Xenopus tropicalis: one gene and its partners. The protein of the gene in region 6 purifies or fractionates together with the protein of the main gene of each other region. This does not show direct contact. Links are inferred from orthologs where the notes say so. Each region holds a gene or a part of one and is shown on either strand. Other genes may lie near its edges. The genes, in order: myo9a, ecsit, ppp2cb, ier5, sertad4, ppp2r2b and ppp2ca.

Evidence for each region.
Region 1: the proteins of ppp2r2b (region 6) and myo9a purify together in Homo sapiens (affinity purification with mass spectrometry; 4 studies listed by BioGRID and IntAct, with this or other methods). This does not show direct contact. The link is inferred for Xenopus tropicalis from reciprocal best matches to the Homo sapiens genes PPP2R2B and MYO9A.
Region 2: the proteins of ppp2r2b (region 6) and ecsit purify together in Homo sapiens (affinity purification with mass spectrometry; 3 studies listed by BioGRID and IntAct, with this or other methods). This does not show direct contact. The link is inferred for Xenopus tropicalis from reciprocal best matches to the Homo sapiens genes PPP2R2B and ECSIT.
Region 3: the proteins of ppp2r2b (region 6) and ppp2cb purify together in Homo sapiens (affinity purification with mass spectrometry; 5 studies listed by BioGRID and IntAct, with this or other methods). This does not show direct contact. The link is inferred for Xenopus tropicalis from reciprocal best matches to the Homo sapiens genes PPP2R2B and PPP2CB.
Region 4: the proteins of ppp2r2b (region 6) and ier5 purify together in Homo sapiens (affinity purification with mass spectrometry; 4 studies listed by BioGRID and IntAct, with this or other methods). This does not show direct contact. The link is inferred for Xenopus tropicalis from reciprocal best matches to the Homo sapiens genes PPP2R2B and IER5.
Region 5: the proteins of ppp2r2b (region 6) and sertad4 purify together in Homo sapiens (co-immunoprecipitation; 3 studies listed by BioGRID and IntAct, with this or other methods). This does not show direct contact. The link is inferred for Xenopus tropicalis from reciprocal best matches to the Homo sapiens genes PPP2R2B and SERTAD4.
Region 7: the proteins of ppp2r2b (region 6) and ppp2ca purify together in Homo sapiens (affinity purification with mass spectrometry; 4 studies listed by BioGRID and IntAct, with this or other methods). This does not show direct contact. The link is inferred for Xenopus tropicalis from reciprocal best matches to the Homo sapiens genes PPP2R2B and PPP2CA.

The regions. Positions count from the first base shown.
Region 1 is NC_030679.2:92,035,190-92,039,282, forward strand, and holds the start of myo9a (unconventional myosin-IXa), read right to left. Parts: upstream 2,921-4,093; 5' UTR 2,283-2,920; intron 1-2,282. UniProt on the Homo sapiens protein: Myosins are actin-based motor molecules with ATPase activity. Unconventional myosins serve in intracellular movements. Regulates Rho by stimulating it's GTPase activity in neurons.
Region 2 is NC_030679.2:139,307,434-139,311,657, reverse strand, and holds the start of ecsit (evolutionarily conserved signaling intermediate in Toll pathway, mitochondrial precursor), read left to right. Parts: upstream 1-1,351; 5' UTR 1,352-1,364; intron 1,365-2,491; 5' UTR 2,492-2,509; coding exon 2,510-2,608; intron 2,609-3,295; coding exon 3,296-3,668; intron 3,669-4,224.
Region 3 is NC_030677.2:97,482,251-97,486,474, forward strand, and holds the start of ppp2cb (serine/threonine-protein phosphatase 2A catalytic subunit beta isoform), read right to left. Parts: upstream 2,824-4,224; 5' UTR 2,617-2,823; coding exon 2,515-2,616; intron 1-2,514.
Region 4 is NC_030680.2:100,835,152-100,839,432, forward strand, and holds ier5 (immediate early response gene 5 protein), read right to left. Parts: upstream 2,839-4,281; 5' UTR 2,731-2,838; coding exon 1,855-2,730; 3' UTR 344-1,854; downstream 1-343. UniProt on the Homo sapiens protein: Plays a role as a transcription factor. Mediates positive transcriptional regulation of several chaperone genes during the heat shock response in a HSF1-dependent manner. Mediates negative transcriptional regulation of CDC25B expression.
Region 5 is NC_030681.2:15,444,171-15,448,374, reverse strand, and holds the start of sertad4 (SERTA domain-containing protein 4), read right to left. Parts: upstream 2,869-4,204; 5' UTR 2,015-2,868; intron 1-2,014.
Region 6 is NC_030679.2:40,230,860-40,234,988, forward strand, and holds the start of ppp2r2b (serine/threonine-protein phosphatase 2A 55 kDa regulatory subunit B beta isoform), read right to left. Parts: upstream 2,911-4,129; 5' UTR 2,479-2,910; coding exon 2,388-2,478; intron 1-2,387. UniProt on the Homo sapiens protein: The B regulatory subunit might modulate substrate selectivity and catalytic activity, and might also direct the localization of the catalytic enzyme to a particular subcellular compartment.
Region 7 is NC_030679.2:26,542,973-26,547,263, forward strand, and holds the start of ppp2ca (serine/threonine-protein phosphatase 2A catalytic subunit alpha isoform), read left to right. Parts: upstream 1-1,485; 5' UTR 1,486-1,783; coding exon 1,784-1,885; intron 1,886-4,291. UniProt on the Homo sapiens protein: Catalytic subunit of protein phosphatase 2A (PP2A), a serine/threonine phosphatase involved in the regulation of a wide variety of enzymes, signal transduction pathways, and cellular events.

The DNA of each region.
Region 1 (4,093 bases), about 52 Mb from region 6:
CTTGTACTGGTCGTGGAATTATGAAGTCAAAAAATGCACTTTTACCATTTATTTTATACAGCAGGGATCCCCAACCTTTTATACCCATGAGCCACAATCAAACGGAAAAAGTGTTTGGGAGCAACACAAGCATAAAAAAAGTTCCTGGGGGTGCAAATAAGAGCTATAATTGACTATTTGGTAGCCCCTATGTGGACTGTCAGCTTATAGAAAGCTCTGTTTAGCTTTACACTGGGTTTTATGCAACCAAAACTTGCCTCCAAGCCATGTTGCTCACGAACCACTGGTTGGGGATCACTGATATACAGCAATAGTACACATAGATATTTAGGTTCCAGGATTCCCTGCACTGTAGATTGAATCTAACCTGAGGCTTAAGGAGTGGGAAGACTAAGTAACTGTCCAAGGTCAGAAAGAGAAGCCAAATGAATCAAACCCAAGCTTCCGGGAATCAGAATGCTGTAACTTAGATTATGGATACACATAGAAAGAAAGCTGCACAGATCTAATTTACATTTAGACATACTGTATGAGAAATTACGTGGATAACTGAATGGATGAACAGAAACTACAGCTAAGTGGATATGCAGTTTATGTTATAGGCAGGGCCACTCCTTAAAGGAAAGGTAAGAACCGTCTTTTCCTGTGTAACAATATTAATACAGTACCTGAAACTTGATGGTAAATAAGCTGCATAAATCCATAACAATTGCAAAACACCAATTTCAGTTTATTTCATGTTTATTTTTATTTATTTTTTTAATAGACTTGAGAAATAGTGATTCTAATTGTGGGAAAAAATACCTTTACAGGAAAAACCCCAGGCCCCAAGCATTCAGGCTAACAGATCCTTTACCTGTATAATATATATATAGCTACAAAAGCAATAAGGTGGCATTGGCGTGACATACAATGTACCACAGTCAAAGCAGCCAACAATACAACCCTTGCTCCTCTAGCATTAACATTGCGTTCAATGAACACATAAGGTTCATGGACTTACACTATTTAACAGACTCCTGCTAACATTGTGTTTGGCTACTAGAATAGACTGGTTGGCTCCTAACTATTTAGCATTTTGTCCACTCCTATGTAAAGTAACATTAGGTTGTTAGGAGACTGAACAGAGAAATAACCTTCAAAGAGCTAGTGGACCAAAACAGCGCAGTTGTAAAAGAGATAAGAGACAAGGTGGAAACATTACAGCAAAGAATGTTTAAGCATTCAAATATATGGCCATAGAGCAGTCTGTGAATAGAGGGCGTAAAAAGTAAGCTTTAAACTGAGACAATCTATACACTGCAATGGATGTTATGTGACACCACATAAATCAGATCTTTTGTACAGATATTCAAATTGATTGATTTGTATGTGATATGTAAGGAAATGTAAGAATCAGCAGTGCTTGGAGCTATGGGAAACTAGAGCAAATAAAGCATTAAATGGATGAGCCTAATGACTTTTACAGGGATTTTATACACACATTCGCTCTTGTTGCATTCTCACAGTATCTTACATATCCAAAATACTTACAGACATACCACAAATACCGAGAATACTGACAGCATCATTACTCATTACTTAATGTCCCTGCAAACCCCCAGTGTCCCATGAATGACAGACAACAGGTCACAATGGTTCTTTCGCAGCTGTCGGGGCATAGTAGGTGTGGGGAGGGAGAAGATGGGCATCTGGTCTTCAGAAACAAATAGTGTGATCCAATATGGCCTGCCCAGTGGTGGTTGGACTACAACTCTCAGTTGTCTTCTTGGAAAATGTCACATTGTTTAATGTTACATTAAACAATAGCTGGAAGGTCAGGGTTTACCCATACTGGCCTATATAACAAGAAGGAAGAGGGTCCCAGAAAAGTGTAAGTGTAGAGAAAGAGTATGCTGCAGAACTCTGTCTAGAATGTCATATTTGATGGGAGTAAGCCCACTGTCTCTATACAGGCACAGCAAGGCCATGAAGTAAGGCTACATTACCTGGGCTATAAAGGACTAATGGCACATGATGGGCACCACTCACCTACCGTAATAAACACTGATCTTGGGGTCCACAGTACAACTGCACCCCTCTGCCCTGACTAGCTGAGCTTAGTGTGTGCTTATATACAGGGTGTATGTCAGTGGGATAATATCCTGCGACTCCACACTTGCTTTGGACTAAAACTCCCAGCATCCCCATACAGCCGATAACCAGGATCTTAGTTAAAGAGAAGCTGGAGGGCCGCGGTTTAAACTAGGAAGTGTTCTATGGAGCTCCGAAGTGTCACTTACCCTTATCTCGGCCCCCGGCGATTTCAGGCCTTCTGACAACAGTGAGAGACATCCAGAGACCGCAAGAGACAGCTCAGTGCCCAAGACTCGGCATGAAGGTCCAAGACACAGTTCCAGCTACAGATCCAGAAAGGACACGTACAGAAACCCGGGACAGTCACATTTAGGCCTTGGAGCTGAAAATCGGCAGAAATTAGCTAGGAAATCGCCAGTCAGGTTGATAAATCCGGTGACGTGAGGCAGCAGCGGAGAGATAGCCCGATGTACAATCCTGGCTCAGGGGCAATGACAGCTCACACGGGCCGGGGCCGGAGAGATTCCGTACAGATCGCTGTAATTCCCAGCAGGAAGAGAGCCCACAAGACAGCAGATGGAGAGGCAGAGACTGCAGGATGTGACTGCAGGGTGGAGAGAGAGAGACAGGAGGGGGGAGGGAGCAGCCCAGACAGGCGTGTTCAAGGGAGAGAGACACAGAGATTTACTACAGAAAGAGACAGAACTGCTTGGGAGAGACAGACTGGGCTTAGAGAGGGCCCCGTACATCTATTAGATTAGGGTGAGAGACAGGCAAGGTACCCACATGCCGCCTTCTGCAGAGCCACATCCTCTGGGCACACACACAAGATCCTCATTGCGGGATGAGAAATGCGGCAAATGGAAAGCAGAGGCCTTAATGATTTCAGAGCAGCTGCCACAATTAAGCTCCCAATGCACAAGATGTAGCCTTATGGTGTATAATAAGGCAAAGAATGAGCAGTGGGGTCAGGGGGTCTGTGAACCCCTGCAAATCCTTGGGCAGGGGTCTAATTCTTGTCTGGCCTTCACATACTTACTTTGATAATCCTTCCTTTACCTCCACCCATATACCTATGTTTGTGCTATGGAGCAACTAGTCTGAGGCTAACATTAGAGGGGTAGTTCACTTTTGAGTTAACTTTTAATATGTTAAAGAATTGCAAATTCTAAGCAACATTTCAATTGTTCTTTATTTTTTTATCTTTTATAGTTTTCTGAATTATTTGCTGCCTTCTTTTGCCTCTTTCCAGCTTTAATATGGGGATCACTGACCCCGGCAGCCAAAAAACAATTTCTCAGTGAGGCTACAATTTTATTGTTACTTTTTCTTACTTACCTTTCTCTTCAGCCCCTCTACTGTTCCTATATCAGTCACTCTCTCTCTCTCTCTCTCTCTCACTCCCTGGTTCCTAAGGTAAATTGGACCCCAGCAACCAGATAGCTGCTGAAATTCCAAACTGAAGAGCTGAGGAATAAAAAGTAAAATAATTAAAAAACCTCCAATAATAAAATAATCTCAGAACTGCTCTCTCTATATCATACTAAAATGTAACTCAATTATGCAGGTAGAAGCAATAGAATGCTACCCCTATCTGAATATTCAGCATTAACCTACTGCCAGTGTTTGGAACCTTTACACCCTGGCCGATCAACAAAACGAGTGATAGCCAAGGCTTTTGCCGATATCTGTTGCCTAGTTAATTCACTGTACAATAATAATATCAGTATATGTATGAGCGCCTTTACCTTGGGCACTAGTGATAAGTATGTATGTAGGAGTGAGTTATTTTGCTCAGTACAGTTATGTGGCAAAATTTGTGGTTTTGCCCACAGAAAAAATTTCCAGGAATTGGTGATAGAATTTACCCATGCGGCATGTTTGTAGTTAGTGGGTAGTGATATACAGTCATATGAAAAAGTTTGGGAACCCCTCTCAGCCTGCATAATAATTTACTCCACTTTTAACAAAAACAATAACAGTGGTGTGCCTTTCGTTTCCCAAGAACATCTGAGTA
Region 2 (4,224 bases), about 99 Mb from region 6:
TGACAGGAGGGAGTGTGAGTGACAGTGAGAGATACTGACAGGAGGGAGTGTGAGTGACAGTGAGGCATACTGACAGGAAGGAGTGTGAGTGACAGTGAGAGATACTGACAGGAGGGAGTGTGAGTGACAGTGAGAGATACTGACAGGAGGGAGTGTGAGTGACAGTGAGGGATACTGACAGGAGGGAGTGTGAGTGACAGTGAGAGATACTGACAGGAGGGAGTGTGAGTGACAGTGAGAGATACTGACAGGAGGGAGTGTGAGTGACAGGAGGGAGTGTGAGTGACAGTGAGAGATACTGACAGGAGGGAGTGTGAGTGACAGTGAGGGATACTGACAGGAGGGAGTGTGAGTGACAGGAGGGAGTGTGAGTGACAGGAGGGAGTGTGAGTGACAGGAGGGAGTGTGAGTGACAGTGAGAGATACTGACAGGAGGGAGTGTGAGTGACAGTGAGGGATACTGACAGGAGGGAGTGTGAGTGACAGTGAGGGATACTGACAGGAGGGAGTGTGAGTGACAGTGAGGGATACTGACAGGAGGGAGTGTGAGTGACAGGAGGGAGTGTGAGTGACAGTGAGAGATACTGACAGGAGGGAGTGTGAGTGACAGTGAGGGATACTGACAGGAGGGAGTGTGAGTGACAGTGATGGATACTGACAGGAGGGAGTGTGAGTGACAGTGAGAGATACTGACAGGAGGGAGTGTGAGTGACAGTGAGAGATACTGACAGGAGGGAGTGTGAGTGACAGTGAGGGATACTGACAGGAGGGAGTGTGAGTGACAGTGAGGGATACTGACAGGAGGGAGTGTGAGTGACAGTGAGAGATACTGACAGGAGGGAGTGTGAGTGACAGTGAGAGATACTGACAGGAGGGAGTGTGAGTGACAGTGAGAGATACTGACAGGAGGGAGTGTGAGTGACAGGAGGGAGTGTGAGTGACAGTGAGAGATACTGAAAGGAGGGAGTGTGAGTGACAGTGAGGGATACTGACAGGAGGGAGTGTGAGTGACAGGAGGGAGTGTGAGTGACAGGAGGGAGTGTGAGTGACAGTGAGGGATACTGACAGGAGGGAGTGTGAGTGACAGGAGGGAGTGTGAGTGACAGGAGGGAGTGTGAGTGACAGTGAGGGATACTGACAGGAGGGAGTGTGAGTGACAGTGAGGGAGTGAGTAAGGGAATACATGGGGGACAGCAGCTGGAGAGTGTAAGAGGATGAAGAGTGAAGACAACACGTTACAGTGCCCGGAACCATCTCACTCAGTCTTCTGTTCCCGCCCGGCTCGGAAGGCAGGCTCCTTGACGTCACTCAATTCCTCCAAGATGGCGGCGCCCAGTCGGCTGCAGTGACACTGAAGCTTGTAGGTAGGTGTATATATGTCGGTATGTATGTAGGAATACCGGGATAAGTGTTTGTGGTGTACTGCTCAGTGAGCGGAGCCCTCCAGCTACAGCCATACAAGGCGCCCCGGTGCCCCTGCCCATACACACAGGCCCACTGGCTGAGCGGTACCGTACTGCCGGACCGTATAGTACAGATCCCCGTACTGCCAGCTGGGGTTAGTAGTGAACAAATATATTTCTGTAATTGGAAATGAATTATGACCCGGGTGCATTTATAAAGAATAATGAATATATTTCGAAAGCATAAATACAATAATATAAATGTCTGTGCCCATCTCCCACCTATAGCCTGTGCCCATCTCCCACCTATAGCCTGTGCCCATCTCCCACCTATAGCCTGTGCCCATCTCCCACCTATAGCCTGTGCCCATCTCCCACCTATAGCCTGTGCCCATCTCCCACCTATAGCCTGTGCCCATCTCCCACCTATAGCCTGTGCCCATCTCCCACCTATAGCCTGTGCCCATCTCCCACCTATAGCCTGTGCCCATCTCCCACCTATAGCCTGTGCCCATCTCCCACCTATAGCCTGTGCCCATCTCCCACCTATAGCCTGTGCCCATCTCCCACCTATAGCCTGTGCCCATCTCCCACCTATAGCCTGTGCCCATCTCCCACCTATAGCCTGTGCCCATCTCCCACCTATAGCCTGTGCCCATCTCCCACCTATAGCCTGTGCCCATCTCCCACCTATAGCCTGTGCCCATCTCCCACCTATAGCCTGTGCCCATCTCCCACCTATAGCCTGTGCCCATCTCCCACCTATAGCCTGTGCCCATCTCCCACCTATAGCCTGTGCCCATCTCCCACCTATAGCCTGTGCCCATCTCCCACCTATAGCCTGTGCCCATCTCCCACCTATAGCCTGTGCCCATCTCCCACCTATAGCCTGTGCCCATCTCCCACCTATAGCCTGTGCCAGTCTGGCTCTGTCTCCTACCAACCATGTGATTGCCCTGAGCACTAGGAACCCACATGGGCGGCACCACTGGTACAACTGTAGGGGCATGGCTGGCCTTTGGGGTGCACCATAAAGAAGGAGGGGTGCCAGGGTGTCCATTATATATTTATTTATTTATTTTATGAAGCAGCATCAAGCCGTCAGGATGAGAACCTTGCGCTTCCTGATTTCTGCCCGTCATCTGTGTGCCCGGGGCAGAGGCATACCAGCAGGCCAGGCTCTTGGCACCGGCAATAACGCCCAGGTAAGCGCAGCGCCGACACGTTTCCACTTATACGTGGAATATTCCATTCTCTCCTGTCCCCTCTCATAGTCAGACTTTCCCTTTAATCTCGGGCGTGTACCCTCCTTCAGTTACAGACAGGGCACACTGGCTACCTAGTGGGCAACAATTTAGAGAAATGGAGGGCACTCCTGGCTAGAATATCCTTGCCAGGAGTTATTATATATACAAAAAATAAGTATAAAGTATCCAGGTGCTAGGGTTTTAATAATCCCCCCATAAGAGGACTATACACATCCACAAAAACCCTGCACACCAGAATAAACTTTCCCAGGGAGGTATTTATAATTAAAAAAAACATTTTATTCATTTAAACAAAGGCGTTTGAGCGGAAACGTTGGGGTATTCTCTCATCCAGATTATCTGCCTTCATATCTTGTTTTTCAGTTATTACACTGGGGGTATGTATTTATTTGCTTTTTGATGGATATACAATTTTTAAGGTTGATACTTTTTTCTGTATCATGTTTAAATGAATAAAATGTTTTTTTTTAATTATAAATACCTCCCTGGGGAAGTTTTTTCTGGTGTGCAGGGTTTTTGTGGGGTTTTGTACCTAGTGGGCAACCACTGCATATTGTCACCTGAGTAATAGAACTTCCCTGGAAGCTTAATCAGAAATGTTATCCTGTGCATGTCGTCTTCCAGAAACAGGTGACCTGCTGTCTTCACACATCTCCGCCTCCTGGGCCTCCCCAAGCCACTTCCTCAGCCGGCTCGGTTACTCCATACGAGGATGTGTTCCAGAGGGAGCAGAGGAACAAAGCCTCCTTTGTGGAGGTCCTTGATCTTTACTGCAACCGAGATGTGAGGAGGAGAGGACATGTGGAGATCATAGAGGCGGCTCTTAGATGGATGACGGAGTTTGGGGTGGAAAAGGACTTGGAGGTTTATAATAAATTGCTTGACGTGTTTCCCAAGGAGGTCTTTGTCCCCCAAAATTACATCCAGAGGATGTTCAACCACTACCCACGCCAGCAGGAGTGCGCCATAAGGGTGCTAGAGCAGATGGAGAATTACGGTAAAGAGCCTACTACTTACTACACTACTTACTATGGGCCAAGGAGGGGGCTATGGGACATGGAGTCTGTCCCTCCCACTGCAGGGTGATACAGTGACACAGACAGGAGGGGGCTATGGGACACGGAGTCTGTCCCTCCCACTGCAGGGTGATACAGTGACACAGACAGGAGGGAGCTATGGGACATGGAGTCTGTCCCTCCCGCTGCAGGGTGATACAGTGACACAGACAGGAGGGGGCTATGGGACATGTCTGCCCCTCCCACTGCAGGGTGATACAGTGACACAGACAGGAGGGAGCTATGGAACACGGAGTCTGTCCCTCCCACTGCAGGGTGATACAGTGACACAGACAGGAGGGGGCTATGGGACACTGAGTCTGTCCCTCCCACTGCAGGGTGATACAGTGACACAGACAGGAGGGAGCTATGGGACATGGAGTCTGTCCCTCCCGCTGCAGGGTGATACAGTGACACAGACAGGAGGGGGCTATGGGACATGTCTGCCCCTCCCACTGCAGGGTGATACAGTGACACAGACAGGAGGGAGCTATGGGA
Region 3 (4,224 bases), on a different chromosome or scaffold from region 6:
TGAAGTCAAAATCACATTACATCACCTCACACTAACCAGTGCATTTTGGATCGCAAATGATCATCCCAGTAGCTTCAGCTTCTATAATAAATGTAATATCACTTTCTGTTCAATAATTTTAATGACATGAAAAATTAGCCTGTGGCGAGTCACTGGCAAGCACAAAGTGGTCTAGTGATCAAAATTTATGAGCTGCTGTGGACAACTTTGAAAGAATGGGTCATTACTATTGTAGGGCTTCTACTGTATGATTGGTTTATAAAATAAAGTATTTCTAGCTGTAATGAGTTAGGGCTTTATTTATTTTCTTCTTTAAAAGGGGGAGTAAAATAAATAAAATATTACCTTCTTCAGCAAAGGAAATTGAGAGTTAACAAACAGAAAAGTTAGGGTGAAATGGATTAAAAGGTGCTCAAAAGTCATGCGCTATTTATTACTAAAGTGAAAGGCCACTGTAAATTTAATTTACAGTGGAGGATGTATGGCTTCTTTTAGCTGACCTTACCCTTCAAAGTTTTACTGTTTGGTTTATTTTACATTTAGCCTAGTTATATATACAGTTAGATATAGTTATTATTGTATGTTGTGAAGTACTATAGTCCTATTTCCTTAGATGGACACACATTTCATTTCCCATTATGTCTGGATGCTTGATTTTATGTTGAACGATGCTGTTAACTGTAGCACAGCACCATTAAAGAACCCAAACTTAAAGGAGTAGTTCATCCTAAAATTAGTTCCACATATGGTATAGATGGTAGCATTCTATAACAATTATTAATCAGCCTTCTTTTTTTTTTCTTGGCAGCTTGGAATTTCAACTGATATGAGGATGGTAGGACTTAATTGGCCTAACAACCAGACACAAAAGAGAAACTCAAAATGAAGATGAACAGTAAAGTGTCCCATTAGAATGATGTGCAATGAAAATAAAAACAGCAACACATCTGAGGACTTACAGTCAGTCAATCAGTTTAATGGTTGTCAGGATCAGGAAACCCTGACAACCAAACAGTATTTTCAGTTGAAGGCTGGGGGAATAAAATAAGGATTCTGATAAATCAAAAGCTATTTAAAAAAAAAAAGATAGGTAAATGAAAATATGCTTAGATTAATGGCACACAACGCGTAAAGAAAAGGCCATAGTCCTATCACCCATAATGTTACTACTGAACATAAAGTGCCATATCAGATGGACATGAAGAGGTAACAGAGACACACTGGCCCAATACACTCAAGCAAAAGCTTTGCGCATAGGTCCACCTGTCACCACAAGTATTCAACAGTATTAAGAGAGGTGACACGTGTTTACTGAAAACAGTCTGGCTACATCATAAGTATCAAGCTCTCAAAGGATTAAAGAAAGGTACTCATCAAAAATTAACTTTATATTTGTACCTTTAGTGCAATGACACATGGAGCTAATTGCACCAGCTACAAAATAGTACTGATAATTGTCTCTACGTGTGTTTTAGCAAAGATGGTTCTCAGTACTGTCTATGGCAAAGTATTTTCTGGGGCTTTGTAGCCGCTACAAGTAGCTCTGTGTGCTGTAGTCCTTAAACAGCATTTAGCTGCAAGAATCACTTAACTGTAGTGATTTTCCCTACAAGGAAACACTTGCATTACAGGTGAAAAGTTTCCTCCAGTTTTTGCAATCCATCTGTTTGTATTTTGTAATCTGCTGTTTGAGAGCAAACAGTTGATTAAATGTTATGGATTTAAAGATGCTTTAGCAAACTTTGTGCCTGTTATTACATCATAAAGTCACATCAATGCACTCTGCCAACCCTATGATTATTAGCAAAGATGATAGGGGTACATTGTTGCCCGTTTAATTTAGAAAATAAATCCCTGAGAAAGGAACACTGGCTGTGTTCAAGGCACCCATCAAATTATAAAATCTCACTCTGAATAGTAATTAGCTACAATACACATATATGTTAAAGGAACATTTTAAGATAATTCCACATGTCAAATTGTATTCTGAAAATAAATGAATACTAATGCCACTATTGTAAGCTCTACGGGGCAGAGACCTCCATCCTTTTGTCTCTTTGACCCTTAACTTATTGCAATTGTATCTTGTATTTATTGTTATACTTTAAACTTATCTATTATTATCTTAATAACCCCCTGTTTGTATTAATGTATTCTACTGTACAGCGCTGCGCACATAAGTAGTGCTTGCTAAATAAAGATATAAATACATACACTAATACATTCAAATAAGCAGGGGGTCTTAGAAACTGGAACCAACAGCTGCCAATCAAAAGGGAACTAAATACAATTTTCAAGATCAGAATCCTACACAGTAAATCCCCTGATGTATGTTTATTTGCTGTGTGGACGTGCCTGTATGAACAAGCGAGGCCCCTTACAGGCGTGTGTATGTTTCTGTGCGTAGCATGTATTCCCCCTACGAGATCATGACGGTATCATGCTGGGAGTGCTATACACCTATGTATGTGGGGCTGAGTGTTTACAGACGTTGCTGCACAGGGCCGGTCTCACCTTCTCGCACAGGGTGCGCACTTGGCTCTCGTTGAGTTGCTTGCAGTCATTGAGCTGCTCGATCCACTGGTCCAGTTCTTTAGTAAACGTCTTGTCCTCCATGCCAGAAACTTCCAGACAACCACACTATTCCACGGTAACACACGCTACAAACATACACGAAATTCCGCACTGTGCCGATCGGTCTGCTACCCCTCCTCTCTGCCCCCTCTCCTGTCACACATTCACTAGCACGGCCTACGCCTCCCACCCCCCAACTTCGTGCGAGGCTACGGCCGGTGATGACCGGACGGAAATATTCACGTATTAATAAGGCTTATGTTAAGGTATTGCCTGTCAAAAGGAGGAGGCCGAAACGCGACTATGTCGTTGTAGCTTTCCTCCTCCTCATTCAATTTCACCCCCGTACTTGCGGGAGCGCGCCGAGAGGGGGTGGAGCTGATAAAACGCACAGAGACAACGAATGGCAGACTGAAATGTACATGCGCGACACAAGGCATAACCTGCACAGCGACAGAGCGTGCCCGCGCCCGTAAACTACAGAAGCGTGCACGGAGACACGCAACGTCAGACTGAGAGGCGGAGGGATGCGCGCATGCGCAAGGAAGCCCCCACCTGCAGAAAAAGTTTTTTTTCGTTTTTTTTTTTTCTCAATGATCTTTATTTGGGTTGTTGTGGGTAGAAACGGGTGGAGTAGAGTATAGTGAAAGTGACAGCGGAAAGGCAGATGTGTTCGTGTTTGACACCCCATTGCTATAAAACTGGAAACGTATAGTTGCGGTACGTGTACATGCAACTTGACATAGATGCATAAATATAGCTCGATTTCCTTATAATATAAAGCTGTCTAATATTATAATGCGTTTTGTAAAGGTGTTTTTCATGGTACCAGGGGTGCAAAATATCTGCCTCTGATAATTTTAGGAGTTGAATAGTTTAGTGTTGGGGGACACATTCGCATAGTGAGCAGCGGTTCTGTGTAAAAGTGGAACTGGGTAAAAGAGACTGCCCAAAATAAAAAATGTTTGCAATATAGTTAGGCAAAATGTAATCTATACATACTGGAGTGGGCAGATGTCTGATATAATGGCCAGAACACAGCTCTTTAAAGGGGAAGGAAAGGCTAAGTCACTTGGGGGTGCTAAAATGTTAGGCACCCCCAAGTGGCTTGAATCGCTTACCTCGTACCCCTGGCTGGTGCCCCTGTTAGGAGAAAACTGCACCAGCCCAGGGCACCTGGGGCAATGCACTTCCCCCTTCCGCCTCCCTTTCCCCTGGACTCAGAGTCCGGCGCTTGCGCAGTAGAGTGAAAAAGCCGACTTCTCTGTTAAAGTTCGGCTTTTCACTCTACTGCGCAGCGAGGGAGGAATCGCTCGCTGCTACCCCGGGCTGGTGCTGTTTTCTCCATACAGGGGCACCAGCCCGGGGTAGAAGGTAAGCGATCTAAGTCACTTGGGGGTGCCTAACATTTTGGCACCCCCAAGTGACTTAGCCTTTCCTTCTTCTTTAAGCTGTTAGCAGTCAGTAACCAATCAGTGACTTCAAGGGGTGTATATGGGACATACTGTTTAGTTAGTTTGCATTTGAAGCTATCCTGTGTGCTCACAAACTAACTGAACTGTTATGTCCCTTGTGCCCTCCCCCTTCTAAAGTCACTAAGAGGTTAGAGAGCTGAAAGCAGGAAGAAGTGTTCTGGCGATTATGTTAGAC
Region 4 (4,281 bases), on a different chromosome or scaffold from region 6:
GTAATAAGGTGACCAACCCTGAAGTATGAGCAACAAAACACAGCTGCAATTGCCCTGTATTAATTGCTTATGATTTAACACAAATAAAACTGTGTGTAGCCATTGTACCACCACAATTATATTTAACCAGTTTAGATCCATGGCACATTGCTCATTTACCAACATGGCATTAAAAAACACAGCTACTGCAAAGTATTTTAGCTTGGTCTAATCTCAAACAAGTAGATTGCAGAGGTGTTTCAGATTTAGCAAAAGATCAGTAGCACTTTGACCCCAAGCCCACCAATTGGAACTCATATATTTCAAGCAGTTCATGTTTTAAAAATAATGAGAGATGTTCTGAAACGTTTCAAAATATTTAATACGTGTCAGACACGTAGAAACATCATAGTATACAGAAGTCAGTTACAGCATTGTGCATAAAAATACTGTAAACCATTGTTTAAATCACATCCAGCCAGAATAACTCATCTTCTAAAACAAAGAGAGATCTGACTGAGCACGCAGGGCTGGATTGAGCACAGGAGCACCAAGCCTGACAAGCACTTTCAGCAGACAAAATACACGTAAAGGGTTTTTCCTTCCTCCTCAGTAAGTTTACAAAGATACATCAGTCATTTCTCCATGCTTAAAGAATATAAAGTCAAAGGATGGTGGGCGGCTTGATGAGGGTAGCACCATGAACTGTGTGTGCTCAAAACTAAAAAGTGAATAAGACACTTTTACATGTTATGGATTGTAAAGTGTTAGAAAACCAATTATGCAAGGCTCTAGGAAAATGCTTGCTTATGAACTCAAACAAGTGACAAAAAACTAAATTAATCAAAGAGTGTGGGTGTGTGTGGTTATATGGGGGCCAAACAAGCAGTTTGAACACTGATTTGGCATTTGCCTCAAGTCAGGACATGAAACAGGAAGCAGTAGTTTTGAAATGACTGGAGGGGCTATATAACACAATAGGTAGGAAAAGAGCAGTGTGAACAGATGGGAACTTCCCTCCCTCTCCCCAAGTGGGGAACTCCCCTAGCACGTGGTGACCATAGTGGTGGGGGTTGGGAGACATTCTTTTCGAAGTGGGGGAGGGGCTGTTTAAGGACTGGTGAATAATGCCCCAGGGAAATACCACCCCCAATTGAAAAAAAAAGCTTACAGTGAAACAGCAAACGATTCATTGAATTAGTGTTGATCAAATTCTTGACCTTAATGTACCTCCGGTGCTAGGTGGGACTTGTCACACCCCTAATCTTCCCACGAGATCCAGTTATCTGAAAGTAATTCAACTTACAGAAACAGAAAATCATGGTTATCCCAGGAGTGCCCCAAGTCCCTGGTGAGATGGTTCATACAGTGTGTCTTCTGGTAATGAATAGGTTAAGTAAACTGTACACGTGGCACCCCTTTAAGCTAGGGATCTTCAACCAGAGAAAAAAAATAAGCTGTTGTGGACTACAACTCCCAGCCTCTCTAGAAAGCCAATGCTAAAAGTTGTAGTTCAACAGAAGCTGGAGAAGTGCTGGTTGTAAGATCTCTACTCTAAGTGCTTTACCAACATAGCAAACTTCGCCCACCAATCCACACACAAAACTAGGCAGATGTAGGAAGAAAGGCATCCAGACATATGAGGACATGGGTAACACAAATCCTTACTGGAGGTCAGTCCAACCCTGCACCATCACGATCCATTCTATATAAAACAATCCATATAGTGTGCTCTGTGCCAGCAGTGTCAGTTCAGTCTATACAGGAGATCCCAGCCTGCGCCCCCCCAGCTCTTGCTGAACCACACACCACCACTAGTTTGCTTAGTGCACGAAGTGGGGGGCCGCAGGCTGAACGCTCCCGTTATGGGATGGCTCAAAAGGCTTCGATTGCCGTGCTCCAGGAGGTCATACTCGGGCTGATCGCCCTTTCACTGCATCCCTGTCCGGCTGGGCCCGCAGAGTCCAACTCCTGCACGTCCTGTGTGGGCTCCTCGGCCCCCTCTGCCCCAGGCTCCTTGCTCAGAAGTCCCGAGAAACTGGAGCCGAAGATGCTGATGAGGTTTGCCACGTTCTCTGTCTCCATCTGTTCCTCCGCCTCGTCCCCTGGCTCTGGCACCTCCTGCTCTCCTTGCTCCCTCTTAGCTCGCTTCATGGCCGGCCCATCGGGCGGGTTCCCTCCGCTTCTCTTCCGACAGCAACTACTCGGGGGATCCGGGCTGCTGGGCTCTGGCTCACGGCTCGGGCAGTGATCTGCTTTATGCTGGGACGCGGAGTGGGCTCGGCAGTTTTCAGTCCCATGTCCCTGGCAACAGGGCACCCCACGGGGGTTCGCTGTGTCGTCTGGGCTGCAAGAGTGGCTTGCTGTGGGGCAGGTACATGTCCGGGCATCTGTCTGCTCAGGGCTCACCATACTGGGGCACTGAGCGTCCCCTGTACATGAATATGGCTCAGGCTCCTTGCAGTCCTGCTGTGGCGGCGGCGGATTATGGAGCGGTGCCTGCCTCTGGTAATACTCCTGCTGTAACTCCTCCGGGCTTTGGCTCAGATAGACCTGCTGGGCGCTGCGGAGTACCAGGGACACCATCAGGTTCTTGTGCAGTTTGATGCCACCGCGCTGCACCCGGGAATGGTAGATCTTTCCCAGCGAGATACTCACGATGCGGTGAGCTTCAAGGCGAAAGCCGAACCCGGGTGAAGTTTCCACATTCCCAGGATCGTGTTGCTGCTGCTCTGGTGCTTCCCGGTGCATTTTCAAAAATGCAGGATTCCTGCTTTTTCTCCGCTTCGTCACAAATGTGCCAACCTGCCGGTTTCCCTTGAGGGCGGTTAAATTGGGAACACAAAGCTGCGTGACCCACCCGTCCCAAAAACCAACTGCAACTAAGCGCGGGCGCGCTCCCACAGTCTCCTTATATACGACTTACGTCATACTCCCATTAGCCAATCAGGCGGTCCCAATGAGCCGTCTCCAACACAGATCTTGGCTGTCTAGCATTTTGTGCGACACATGAAAAACTACCAATTGGCGAGCACAGCATTAACCGCCTGGATTCGAAAGGCTACCCGCGTAGAATCTCCTTAAAGCGGCATTGCCTTGTTAGCGTTTACGTCCCTAGACTGTGTCTTAATTAGTATTTGCCGTGGCTGCTATAAGCACATATAAAGTATCCCGATTTATTATCGCGATCTGACGATTAGTAGTTTCATACTGAGGTACTGAAGTGTATATAGTCACAGGAGCGCTAAAGTATGCTATGATGGAGGCATTGCCCCTTTAACGCAGGCAGTGTTTTGGTGGCGGCTCCCAGGCTGATGTAATGCTTCTGTAAGTGTTCAGGCTCAGTCACGTGATGGGCTGTGAGGTCGAATGCTGGCTGCTTTGAGTCTGCCTCCCCCACCATTACTATTCCAGCTTGTAGCTTGTCGGTTTTCCAGCAGTCTTACGGGTAGTTGCAGTTTTGCGGGAGCTGCGGAAAGGAGTCATATATGTTTTATAGTTGGTTCGTACCAAACACCCGTGAGAGCAAGGCTAGCCGGTCCTGTGATTTCTTTGACTTGCCAGTGACCATGCCAGTTACAGTGGGATTTGGGGTGAACGTCCAGCCTAAAGGTCAGATAGGGTGAGGAAACACTTATTTGCTGATATTATTTACCTGGTTCTGATATTATTACATTTTTATATACCTGTGACATTGACATAGAATTAGGGGGGGGTGGTTTGAGGTCAAATGGGGGCATGGGCATCTACATTACCTTGGCAGCTCTGAGCCAATTATTTGGGATATTGCAGGCCTTTAGTCTTCAAGGCCACACTCGCTGTTTCTTTGCAGTGACTGGTAAGTGTCAGCTGATAATGCACATCATTCTCTGCATTAAAGGCCACCAGTGTGATATTTGCGATAAAGCCTTTATTTAAAACGTTCAGTCTTTCAGATGCTTAAAATTTCCACCCCAATACAGGATTCTATGATCTAATTTGACAAAAAGGCTAAAAAGGGACATTGTTGGCTGACAGGTTAGAGAAATGAATGTGAAACTGTAATTATAAAGAAAGTCAAAATAACTTGAACATTTGAATATTTTAGTTCTTTACAAAAAAGGATTCATTCAAGTTTAATGTTTACAATTATGCAGCATTCACACACCTTCCCCCAGAGCTTAATAATTCTACAACTGCATTGTGTCACTTGCTTCCTGAATTTGAAATCTTCTAGGTCTGCTCCTACAAAAGGAACAGCCTAATTTAGAGAGAGGTTACCAATGCAGGATGGCTGGGAGCCCCATTAGAAGTGGGATGGCA
Region 5 (4,204 bases), on a different chromosome or scaffold from region 6:
GCCCCATCCAGCCCTCCGTGCCCCTGCCCCATCCAGCCCTCCGTGCCCCTGCCCCATCCAGCCCTCCGTGCCCCTGCCCTATCCAGCCCTCTGTGCCCCTGCCCCATCCAGACCTCCGTGCCCCATCCAGCCCTCCGTGCCCCTGCCCAATCCAGCCCTCCGTGCCCCTGCCCCATCCAGCCCTCCGTGCCCCTGCCCCATCCAGCCCTCCGTGCCCCTGCCCCATCCAGACCTCCGTGCCCCTGCCCCATCCAGACCTCCGTGCCCCATACAGCCCTCCGTGCCCCATACAGCCCTCCGTGCCCCATACAGCCCTCCGTGCCCTATCCAGCCCTCCGTGCCCCATCCAGACCTCCGTGCCCCATACAGCCCTCCGTGCCCCATACAGCCCTCCGTGCCCCATACAGCCCTCCGTGCCCTATCCAGCCCTCCGTGCCCCATCCAGACCTCCGTGCCCCATACAGCCCTCCGTGCCCCATACAGCCCTCCGTGCCCCATACAGCCCTCCGTGCCCCATACAGCCCTCCGTGCCCTATCCAGACCTCCGTGCCCCATACAGCCCTCCGTGCCCCATACAGCCCTCCGTGCCCTATCCAGCCCTCCGTGCCCCATACAGCCCTCCGTGCCCCATACAGCCCTCCGTGCCCCATACAGCCCTCCGTGCCCCATACAGCCCTCCGTGCCCCAAACAGCCCTCCGTGCCCCATACAGCCCTCCGTGCCCCATACAGCCCTCCGTGCCCCATACAGCCCTCCGTGCCCCATCCAGACCTCCGTGCCCCATACAGCTCTCCGTGCCCCATACAGCCCTCCGTGCCCCATACAGCTCTCCGTGCCCCATACAGCCCTCCGTACCCCATACAGCCCTCCGTACCCCATACAGCCCTCCGTGCCCCATCCAGACCTCCGTGCCCCATACAGCCCTCCGTACCCCAGCCAGCCCTGCGTGCCCCATACAGCCCTCCATGCCCCTGACCCATCCAGCCCTCCGTGCCCCATCCAGCCCTCTGTGCCCCATACAGCCCTCTGTGCCCGACCCACAGTGACCCCGCTGGCAGCGCACGTACATTCTTGCTGGGAACAGACTGAAACTGTCTGTTTGCCCGCGGCTGTTTTCTGACCTGATCTCACAGGCACAGACATGATCCCCTGCTGCTACAGTCATATGGTTCCCTTAACAGACAATTACTATTCCAAACAGCAGCCAGATCCCCAAGAAGCTGCGCGTAACCCCTTCACTGCCTGCTGACACTCTCTGTGGCACCCTAGTGCCTTGGCCTGTGCCGGGGGGGGGTACACTGGGCACAAGTACAGGGGGCACAGACTGGCACTGCCAGTATTTACAAAGACACCAAGTGCCCAAAACCTCATAGGGTGTATAATAAGTTTCTGTGGGTGCCCTGTGCCCGGCTGGGGGTTACAGGATACAACTACACATTATTGGGCCCCACAGATATACCACTGTAGGGCCCCAAGTCACACAAACTGCTTCTGTCAGTCCCGCGCTGGGCACCCTATACCTTCTGGACACCCAAGAGTCTCCTTGCTCTTTAGTTGCACCCCAATAATACGTTGTTTGCCCAACATATTGACCCCCCCCCAAAACAAAACTTCCTGGGGGGGGTTTATGAGATTGTGCCAAATCTATACCAGACTTTCCCCACAGTAATGTGTGTTTGATCAGCCTGTACCATTCCAATGCGTTCCTACTCCCAGAATCCCCTGAGAGCCCCATTGGGCCCTTACAGAACCCTCAATACAGTATTAGGGGCCCCACTAGGGAAATAGATTGGCACTAAGTTTTATAATAAGGGCACATTGGGGCATAACCCTGGGGCATGAGGGGCAACTTTTTTTCTAAACCACAAACAGGGGCAATATAAGTCAATGGCCAAGGTGCGCCCATCCCTTGCACCCACATCGCTAGTTCTACAGCGGCTTGGGGGGGGGGAGAGGTGCCCCCACATGTGTACATATAACCATGTAAAGCCCAACTCCCCAATAAATGCCCCTACCTTGCGCCTTACTCCCGGTACTGCGTCCCGCAGGGTCACCGCGCCAGCTAGGAGACAAGTCGCCGCACAGTCGCAACACAGGTTGACAGCGATTCCGCGGCAGTGTCGCTGTACAGGATAGCAGAGGTGCGATTCCCGGGCAGTGTCGCTGTATAGGTTAGCAGATGTGCGATTCCAGGGCAGTGTCGCTGTACAGGAGAGCAGAGGTGCGATTCCCGGGCAGTGTCGCTGTATAGGATAGCAGAGGTGCGATTCCCGGGCAGTGTCGCTGTATAGGATAGCAGAGGTGCGATTCCCGGGCAGTGTCGCTGTATAGGATAGCAGAGGTGCGATTCCCGGGCAGTGTCGCTGTATAGGTTAGCAGATGTGCGATTCCAGGGCAGTGTCGCTGTACAGGAGAGCAGAGGTGCGATTCCCGGGCAGTGTCGCTGTATAGGATAGCAGAGGTGCGATTCCCGGGCAGTGTCGCTGTATAGGATAGCAGAGGTGCGATTCCCGGGCAGTGTCGCTGTATAGGATAGCAGAGGTGCGATTCCCGGGCAGTGTCGCTGTATAGGTTAGCAGATGTGCGATTCCAGGGCAGTGTCGCTGTACAGGAGAGCAGAGGTGCGATTCCCGGGCAGTGTCGCTGTACAGAGGTTCCCGGGCTGCTGTAGCGGAGTAAGGCAGAGGTTCCCCCGGCTCAGAGCTGCTCGGAGAGGCTCCCAACAGGCAGGGAGAGTGCGGGGCTGAGAGCGAAACCGGTCCGTCCTGTTCTACATTTCCCTCCGGATCGCACAGGAGACTCGCCAGCCTGCCCCGGGGGTGAGGGAGGGAATGTGACAAGCGCCTGTCTGCGCTCCCTCTCTGCCCCCTCCCACCGGCCCTGCGACTCCAACTGCCCGCTGCGACTCCGGCTGGCCGCGACTCCTGCTGCTGCACTGCTTAAAGGGACAGCACTCTGACCAGTCCTGCAATTGGGGTCACACTGTATGGTATAAACATATATATGTGTGTGTGCCTGTGTATATTTATACATATAGTATATGGTTAGATAGATAGATAGATAGATAGATAGATAGATAGATAGATAGATGATAGATAGATAGATAGATAGATAGATAGACAGACAGACAGACAGACAGATAGATAGTTGATAGATAGATAGTTGATTGATAGATAGATAGATAGATAGATAGATAGTTGATAGATAGATAGATAGATAGATAGATAGATAGATAGATAGTTGATAGATAGATAGATAGTTGATAGATAGATAGATAGATAGATAGATAGATAGATAGATAGATAGTTGATGATAGATAGATAGATAGATAGTTGATGATAGATAGATAGATAGATAGATAGATAGATAGATAGATGATAGATAGATAGTTGATAGATAGATAGATAGATAGATAGATAGATAGTTGATGATAGATAGATAGATAGATAGATAGATAGATAGATAGATAGTTGATGATAGATAGATAGATAGATGATAGATTGATTGACAGAATATATAGATGATAGATAGATTAGATAGTTGATAGATAAATAGATAGATAGATAGATAGATAGTTGATAGATAGATAGATAGTTGATAGATAGATAGATAGATAGATAGATAGATAGATAGATAGTTGATGATAGATAGATAGATAGATAGATAGATAGATGATAGATAGATAGATAGTTGATAGATAGATAGATAGATAGATAGATAGTTGATGATAGATAGATAGATAGATAGTTGATGATAGATAGATAGATAGATAGATAGATAGATGATAGATTGATTGACAGAATATATAGATGATAGATAGATTAGATAGTTGATAGATAAATAGATAGATAGATAGATAGATAGATAAATAGATAGTTGATAGATAGATAAATAGATAGATGGATAAATAGATAGATAGATGATAGATAGATAGATAGATAGATAGATAGATAGTTGATAGATAGATAGTTAAGATAGATGATAGATAGATAGATAGATAGATAGATAGATAGATAGATAAATAGATAAGATAGATAGTTGATAGATAGATTGACAGAATATATAGATAATAGATTAACAGGATAGATGATAGATAGATAGATAGATAGATAGATAGATAGATGATAGATAGACAGATAGATAGATAGATAGATAGATAGATAGATAGATAGATAAGATAGATAGTTGATAGATAGATTGACAGA
Region 6 (4,129 bases):
CATTGCGAAATGCAACTACCTACGACTATTTTGATGTGATCACTACTTTTTCCTCACTTGCTGAAAAAGATGGTGGGAGGCCTATGTGAAGAAATATTCCTTGGCACCAGTGTCATTGGTAACCTTCAGATGTCACTAGACAACTTTTCTCTGCACTCCCGACTGCCTTTGGCTAGTGGCAAGATCCAGAAAATAGCATTTCAATGATAGGGTTACGATTTGCCTATCTTTGGTCTACATAACTAAACATTACTGGAGACATTTGAATATTTCCACCTTTAGGAGTAATTGAAGCCTAAGGGCTCTGGCACACGGGGAGATTAGTCGCCCGCGACAAAACTCCCTGTTCGCGGGCGACTAATCTCCCCAAGTTGCCGCCAGTTGCCATCCCACCGGCGACAATGTAAGTCGCCAGTAGGATGGCACACGCGGCGGCGCGATTTCGGGAAATCGCCAAAAAAGCCTCGCGAGGCAACTTTGCCGATTTCCCGAAATCGTGCCGCCGCGTGTGCCATCCCACCGGCGACTTACATTGTCGCCGGTGGGATGGCAACTGGCGGCAACTGCGGGAGATTAGTCGCCCGCGAACAGGGAGTTTTGTCGCGGGCGACTAATCTCCCCGTGTGCCAGAGCCCTAAAAAGTGCCTGAGGTCCCTGGGCTCCTGCAGCTGTAGCCCAAATGGTAGTTCTGCCCATGGCTCACTTAGGTTAGCTTCTGTCTCATTAAAAGTTTATATGAACAATAAAATAAAGCTCTCATATTATGTATTTTAAGATTAAAGAGATATTTTAATATTTTTAGTGCCATCTAGTTAGACTAAGCACAGGTTTTCAAGCCCCATGCATGTAAACTGTTAGTAAAGATTTGGGTTAGAGGAATGCATCATAAATCTTGGCACCAGGAGAACTTTGTAATCATTTCTGAACAGTATTCATTTACAGCACATTTTCAACCAAGACTTACAGCTGTAATGCAGAAAGCAATAGCTCCTGTTTCTGAAAAATGCTTTGCTTGGTTAATCCAGCCAAGTGTTTTAACCTTATTCATAATTTGACCATTGGGGAGTGGGGGGGGGACCACTGTTTGAAGCCTTTAGAAATAAACCAATTTGCCTCAAACAAACATGAAGTATGTTAGCTACCACCCATATTAAAACAAATGTGGGTATACAAGACTCTTTGTACAGAATAATCTATACCCAGACATAGAACTAAACATTTCTAGAAATAAACTGAAGACTATATGTTAAAGGATTTGCTATAAAGAAAAGTATATAATAAACAGTACCTTGTACTTAATGGCAACTAAGCTGCATGAATCCAAATCTGGGACAAAAAAATCCTATAGGGTGTATGTAATGTTTAAATTAATTTCAGCAGGTTTAAGATATGCAGAACTAAACCCCAGGTCCCAGTCATACTGAATAATAGATCCTATACCTGTTTTTATTTACCCTTTACAGCAGTGTAGAAAATAGAACGATACAAACACTGGTCACAATTACAAATAACTGAACACTAAAAATGTTTCATGTGTGTTTGGAAAATCCTTAGAAAGCTTTATTATGCAAAAAAAATTAAACGTATGTGAAATTCCCCACTAAATGTGTAGAATTTATCGATATGTATGTTAGTCTTACAGGTACAGGTTAGTCTGCATTATATATAATCTGTTAAGGGCTCACTATAAAACATTATTCCCATGTTGCATGGCTAATCATTACATATGCCTGATTCACACTGCACTGATTTTTAAGACCTAATTACAAACAGAGCTGGACTGGGCTGATGTGACACTGGGAAAAAAACCCGGTGGGCCCTGGCTTCCCCTCCAAACACAGATCCACTTCCCTCTGATCTCCCCTCCAGATCTCTGCTGCATCAGGGACTACAATGTACACACAATGGAGGGAGGGGGGTTTGTGCCATTGCATATTTCTTTGGAGGTCTTGACAATGACCACACAACTGGGGTGGGGGGACTGAGGTGGCAGCCCTGGTGGGATCAAGACCTCCCCAGTCCGACTGATATTAAGTACAGGACAGCCAAATATTCAGTGCACCAACACAGCTATTTATAAAGAGATGTTGGCATAAATTGTATTCACATGACCACCTTTTAAGTGGTACAGCCACTTAATGGTACAGAACAGAGGTAATATACAGCCGGAAGCCTGACCAGCTCTATAGCTGCTTAAAGCAGGAGTTATAGAAAATTCAGTTCACCACAACACTGTCTACATTTAGTTTCATGAATAAATAAAGTTGTGTAGGCCAGCAAGAAAAAATGTCATATAAAGAATAAAACCAATTTGGCAACCTGTAGTTACCCAATGTGCCATAAAAAGGACCAGTCACATGGGCCACGCAAAGAAGATGGCTACTTACCTGAACTCTTTCTCTGCCTGCGTGTGTACTTTCCATTGCAATGGCGGGCCTCTTCAGAAAACACAATAGATTCCTGCAGTTCAGGGATCATAACACTGTACCTGGTGTTGCAAGATCCCACACTGTCTTCTATAGAACAGGGCATTTATTAAATGGATATCTGTGTTAAACAGCAAAAACCTCAGGACAGCAAGATGCTGCTCAATAAATATATATGCCTTGCGGGGGCAAAGTCATTAATCTTTAAATTCCTGGTGTGTAAAACTGGATTTTTCACCCCAATGCAGCTGAAGTTTGCTTGGAACAGTTTAGTCTCAGGTATTTATCAAACTATGGCTGCATATAATATGCTGTTAGCAACACTCTAAGAAAATCACAGTGTGCAACTTCATAACACCAGTTTACTGATCTCACTGCAGTAGGGTGGGTAGGCCACAGTTGTGGCCACTGATTGGACCAATCTATGCCAAAGAATGGGAGTATCTGAAATTTGATTTGCTAGTAGTCATGAATTTAACTATCATCATAGGAAAATGCTTACTACAGGTTTCTGCTAAAATCTGTGTAGCCCAACATTGAATATATTCCTTTCAATGTCCCCTTTACATGGGGCATGTATAAGAAATTCAACCAATCAGCAGCTAGCAGGGGTATTGCCCTGATGGTGTACAGGGATATGCTGAATCATATGCAGTCCCACCTTAAGGTTATTACTCTTATTCCTCTAAAAATAGGTGTGCAGTATGCTTAAGGCCCTCAACCCGCACACAAAGAACAATTCCTCTTAAGGTGGCACTGTATTAAAGGGATATGCTGTGGGGAGTATGCCTACATCTGAAAAACCCTAAACCAAGTATAAACTTTATTCTGAGCTGTCACTCACAGCAACTGCTAAGAACATTTCTTTCATTAGTCTTTATGCAGCTGACCAATCAGTACTAATTACGGACTGATTGCTATGGGTTTAGCCTCTAAATTTAAATGACTCCAGTTTTGTGGTTTAATCCTGTTGCTCTGGATTCTGGGAGTAGGGGCTAAACTCCACGGGAGATTTTGTGGGTCAGATTTAATCTGATCTTGTCATGCAACACCACGCAAACCACAAAATCTGATCTCCATAGGCTGTAGTGTAAAGTTGGATCAGATAAAGTCAGATGGTATGTTTTGTTCCTGCATCTACATCCGACACACAATGTATTTTAATGAGAAAAAAAGTCTGTCAGACACATCAGATTTTATTGGATGAAGACGCAGAATGCAGAATTCCCTTCTGACAGGCACGTCATGTTGGATGGCAAATCTTTCATGTAGTTTACACATCAGATTTTTCTATTACTCCCCTTCTTTTGATCTGACACCATACAAAACCTCTTGTGGAGTTTAGGATTCTGACACAGGCACATCCAAATTGTGCTTCCCTTGCATCCAGCACTTACCTGCGCCTGTGTTAGTTCAGACCCACTAAAAAAAATGGGATGCGTTTCTTCCTGTGACTCTCTGCGGTGGAGCACAGGAGAACGCCATCTGAGAAAGCAACGCTCACGAGTACGAGCCTTCAATGACAAATTCACAACTGTTTGAATGCCATTTTTTCTTTTTTTTTTAATTTATGCCAGAAATGTTTTTCTGTATTGCAGTAAATAAGGTCAATATGGCAAAAAAACACTCCTGGTTAAGTTAAGATTCAAATTTCCATTTTTTTAAAAACAGAAATTTGTTCTACACTAGCGATGTGCCCCCAG
Region 7 (4,291 bases), about 14 Mb from region 6:
AAGTTTGGAGTAATAATAAAAACAAGCATATAGGTGTAAAAATGATGTATTTGCCCATATTTACCTATTTTGAGTTCATCTGAATGTAAACTTTTTAAAAATGTTTTTTCTCTGGTAAGTTTACTGACCCAGGCATTTTTGTCTTGCAATCTAGTATGCTGATTTCTGGTGCTTTGAAAATTCACTTTACTGTAGGTCAGTGGTTCTCAACCTGTGGGTCGGGACTATTTCACAGGGGTCGCCAAGACCATCGGAAAACACACATTTCAAATGGTCCTAGGAATAATTTTATGGTTGGGGGTCACCACAACATGAGGAACTGTATGAAAGGGTCGCGGCATTAGGAAGCTTGAGAATCATTGGTGTAGTAGATGTTTAACACATACACATAAGGAAACCCCATAAAACTATACACACTCTAGTCAGGTTACCACCTTACTGGTATTTTACCGTAAAATACCCTACACTGTGTCGATATCAGGCTTTCCAAATGAGTTGTATTATTTTTACTTGCAAAATAGGTTTGATTCCTCTAGATATGAAATTATTAGTCAATTAACAACGCAACGCTTTGTTTGCAGATTTGGAAGAAAGAAACGCTTTAATTGTATAGAGCAGGGGTAGGGAACCTACGGCTCGGGAGCCAGATGTGGCTCTTGATGGCTGCATCTGGCTCCCTGCCAAATCTTTAATAAAAAAAAATAATGTGGAGCGTGGCCTGCGCTTAGCGGATAGAAGACATGTTCTATGCCTTAGAACACATCTTCTATCCGCCAAGCGCAGGCCACGCCCTCCTCCGCGTCCGGCATCCTTACCAGGTTGCACTTGAACCAGGGCCCAGGGAACGGAGAGGGACATTGGAGCAGAAACCTGTCACGCTTGAATTGAAAATAAAATGTGACCAGTATGTCTCTGTTGGGGCTACAAAGAGAAGCCAACTGTGCACTGTGCTAGGTAGCCCTCTAGTTATACCACTAACAAGCCATATTGAACAGCTAAAGATGACACCCACCCTACCTTGCCCCACAGCATCCGCGGCCTTCGGCCTAGCTCCCGTTGGCCATTGTATGGCTCTCACGGAATTACATTTTAAAATATGTGGTGTTTATGGCTCTCTCAGTCAATAAGGTTCCCGACCCCTGGTATAGAGACCTAAGAATATGATTATAATATATAATAATTAAATCAATAGCTATTGCTTCGATTTTGTCTGTGTGTGTCACTGGGCCTGCAATAAACCATCCACCCTCCAGGCTTTTCTCTCAATGACTGCACTTGAGCGCTATCATTTATCGCCACGCCCATGCGACTAGACTCGGATCCATAAGGGCGTGGGGATGAGCGCAGCTTCCGATGACATCTCTAGGAAGTGACGTACGGCGAAGAAGCAAAGGAACTGGCTGAGGAGGAGGTGTGGAGCCATAAAGGAGAGGTTCGTGACGTCACGGCGGCCATTATACTGTACAGTACACTCTGAGAAAGAAGGAGCCGTAGCTGCAAAATTACAGCGGACTGTCTGATAACGTTATTTCTTTATTACCTCTACTAGCTCTGTACCTCTTACGAGGCGCTTTGAAGCCCTCTGGACTGTGTCCGTTTAGATACTGTCGCCTGAGATCCCGGCACTCCCCTGGGTTCCGTATTTTATTCAACTGACGGTCCCCACCCCTGCCAGCAGCGGTCGACTTGTTGGTTTTCTGACGCCATTCATTGGCTCTTGGTCCCTCCGAGGGCATACCCGGTGACTGCCTCCCTAGGCCGCCGGTCTTTTCCTTAGACAGCCATGGATGAAAAGGCGTTCACGAAGGAGTTGGATCAGTGGATCGAGCAGCTGAATGAGTGCAAGCAGCTATCGGAGAACCAGGTCAAGACTCTGTGCGAGAAGGTACGGGTGGCGCAATGGCAACTTTAAATAGACTGCTGGTAGCAGCCGTGATTATTTTAGAACTATACATATATATTAGCCTGCTGTGGAGCTACAGCCATCAATAGTAGTAGGTAGTTCCTAACGTCATATCGGTTTGTGGGCAGTAACATGGAGCGCACGTAGGTCTTGCGGGGGAGATCATTATTCCGTATTGGGGAACGCATTATTCCGTATGGAGGCCGTATCTTTCGCTATTACGGGTTGCTATACACTTTATACAACATGTAGGCTGGTTGGTAGACACATGAAACGTACTATATATGTCTATCGCCCTAATATATGTGGGAAGGCGTGTTACGGACACCGGGGGGCTAGCGTACAGGGGCTATAGTATCTGTAGTGTTTGCTGTACAGCAGCGCCCATGTGTGAGCTGCACTCGGCACGTCCCACTCCCGGCGAGAGGCTCTGTGGGCGCAGGCTCGGGCTGCTAAGCTCATGGCGCCTTTTGTCGTTCATAAGATGGCGGCTGCTCCACCCCCCGCAGGAATGCGCATGCACGCCAGGACGTGTCACTACTAGTGCGCGCCTCGGCCGGCGGCGCGCTCCCATTTGCTTGGAATGTTACAGGGAATGCAGGGGTCATGGGGATTCTTGGTACAGTGAACGTTGTGCTTTACGGCTCCTTGTAGTAAAGTAAGGCCATATTCTGCCAGAACCACGGGCTAACGTAATCCTGATCTATGGCTTGTTGGGAAAATGTGTTGGTGGAGATGCCACAGTCCAAAAGAGTGGTGGGAATTCCTTGTGTGCTGCTGTATAGGTTGGCCAGCCACTGAGCTAGGTAACATTCATTTGAACATCTCTCATTAAAATGAATAGATGCAGAGCTTTCTATTTATAATCACATATAAGTGGCAGTACAATAAATAGGTATATATATCAAACATGCAGATTTACATACAAAGCAGCCAATCACTGACACAAGAGGTAAAGAGGGCCCTGCCCAATAGAGCTTGCAATCTAAAAGGAGTTCACAGGGTTGGCGGTGGTATGCTTTTTGATGTTTTTCTATTTACGCCCAGGGATTATAAGAATGATGTTGTCCCTTGTGGTCCCTCCTGATGTAGCTAGCTGCGGTTAGTACCAGATTCAGCTGATGTTGGGCCGCAGGACAGTGATTGAGTACATTGGCCAATATTGTGGTGCAATCATGCTCCAGTGTGTTTTCCATGGCCATAGTTGTAGCTAGCTGCATCTAATAGGGCGGGCCACACAGTTACTCACTCTGGTAAATTATGTACAAGGTATGGCAACTTTGCCAAGAATCTCCGAAGCTCATGTAAAACGTGCAATTTTATGAAAACAGCACTGCTAGGAAGTGCATACAAATATTTTAGAATTGTTCAGAAATCTATAAATAAAAGTCAATTTTCTTAGTGCCAGGACTATAAACTTAAGGCTGAAGTGTCTATCAAAGGATTCTTAAAGTTTGATTCTGCTCCTATGAGCCTTTTTTGAGCTCACATTCATTTTCTGCTCTATGCCAGCCATTTTTAAGGCTGTACAAGAAGCGGGTTGTTCATGTGGGCCTTTCAGCTGTTGCTTAAGTAGAAAAATGCAGCCAAACCAATTGGTGTTACAGCTGGGATACAGAGAGGCTACTTATAGGCATGCTGTGAGAAATCCATTGTTAGCTGGCCAATAACCTGTGATTGCTTTTTGCCGGCATGGTCCATTTGGTACTAGGGATGCACAGTATTGGCAAAGGGACAGAGAAGCTCAAAGTAGACCCTTTCTGTGGAGAAGTGTGGCTTATTGACTGTATGGGCAGTGCTGCTTTTACCTCCATCAGCTTAATTAAATCCCCCTCTGTCCAAAAGTCATGTCTATTCGCAGATTTACAACAGTGTTGTGTAGTGTGCAGAAAGATCTGCCTGCCTGGGATGTACAATGCAGCTGCATTGCTTAGAGAAGTCTCTACCACTGCACCACGGGAAAGGCAATAATAAGTGTTTGTCACTGTTTTCCACATAAAGCAATCTTTTCTTTTCTCATCACGTGACGGTTATTCAAGCAAATGTAGCTGCAACTCTTTCTTTTTCAAGCCTTCTCTAGCTAAAAACTGACAGACTATGCATAGTACATGGATATGGGGCAGGATTAATGGGCCTCCATACTCGCAATTCCTTAATTAAAAGGATATCTTCATGTAAGAAACTTTACTATGAAATATAAAATAACTATAAACCGCTTTCAAATATACATAAATTGCAGCTTTTAGTGGTTTTATTTTTTTTTAACTGCAATTGTTATTAAATTTAAATATAGTTTCTCTTTCATTGTCTGCATGAATGGATACACATGCTTCTCCATTACATTTACAAGTAACTTTAAAATATAAAACGGTGGTTTTAATAAATAAG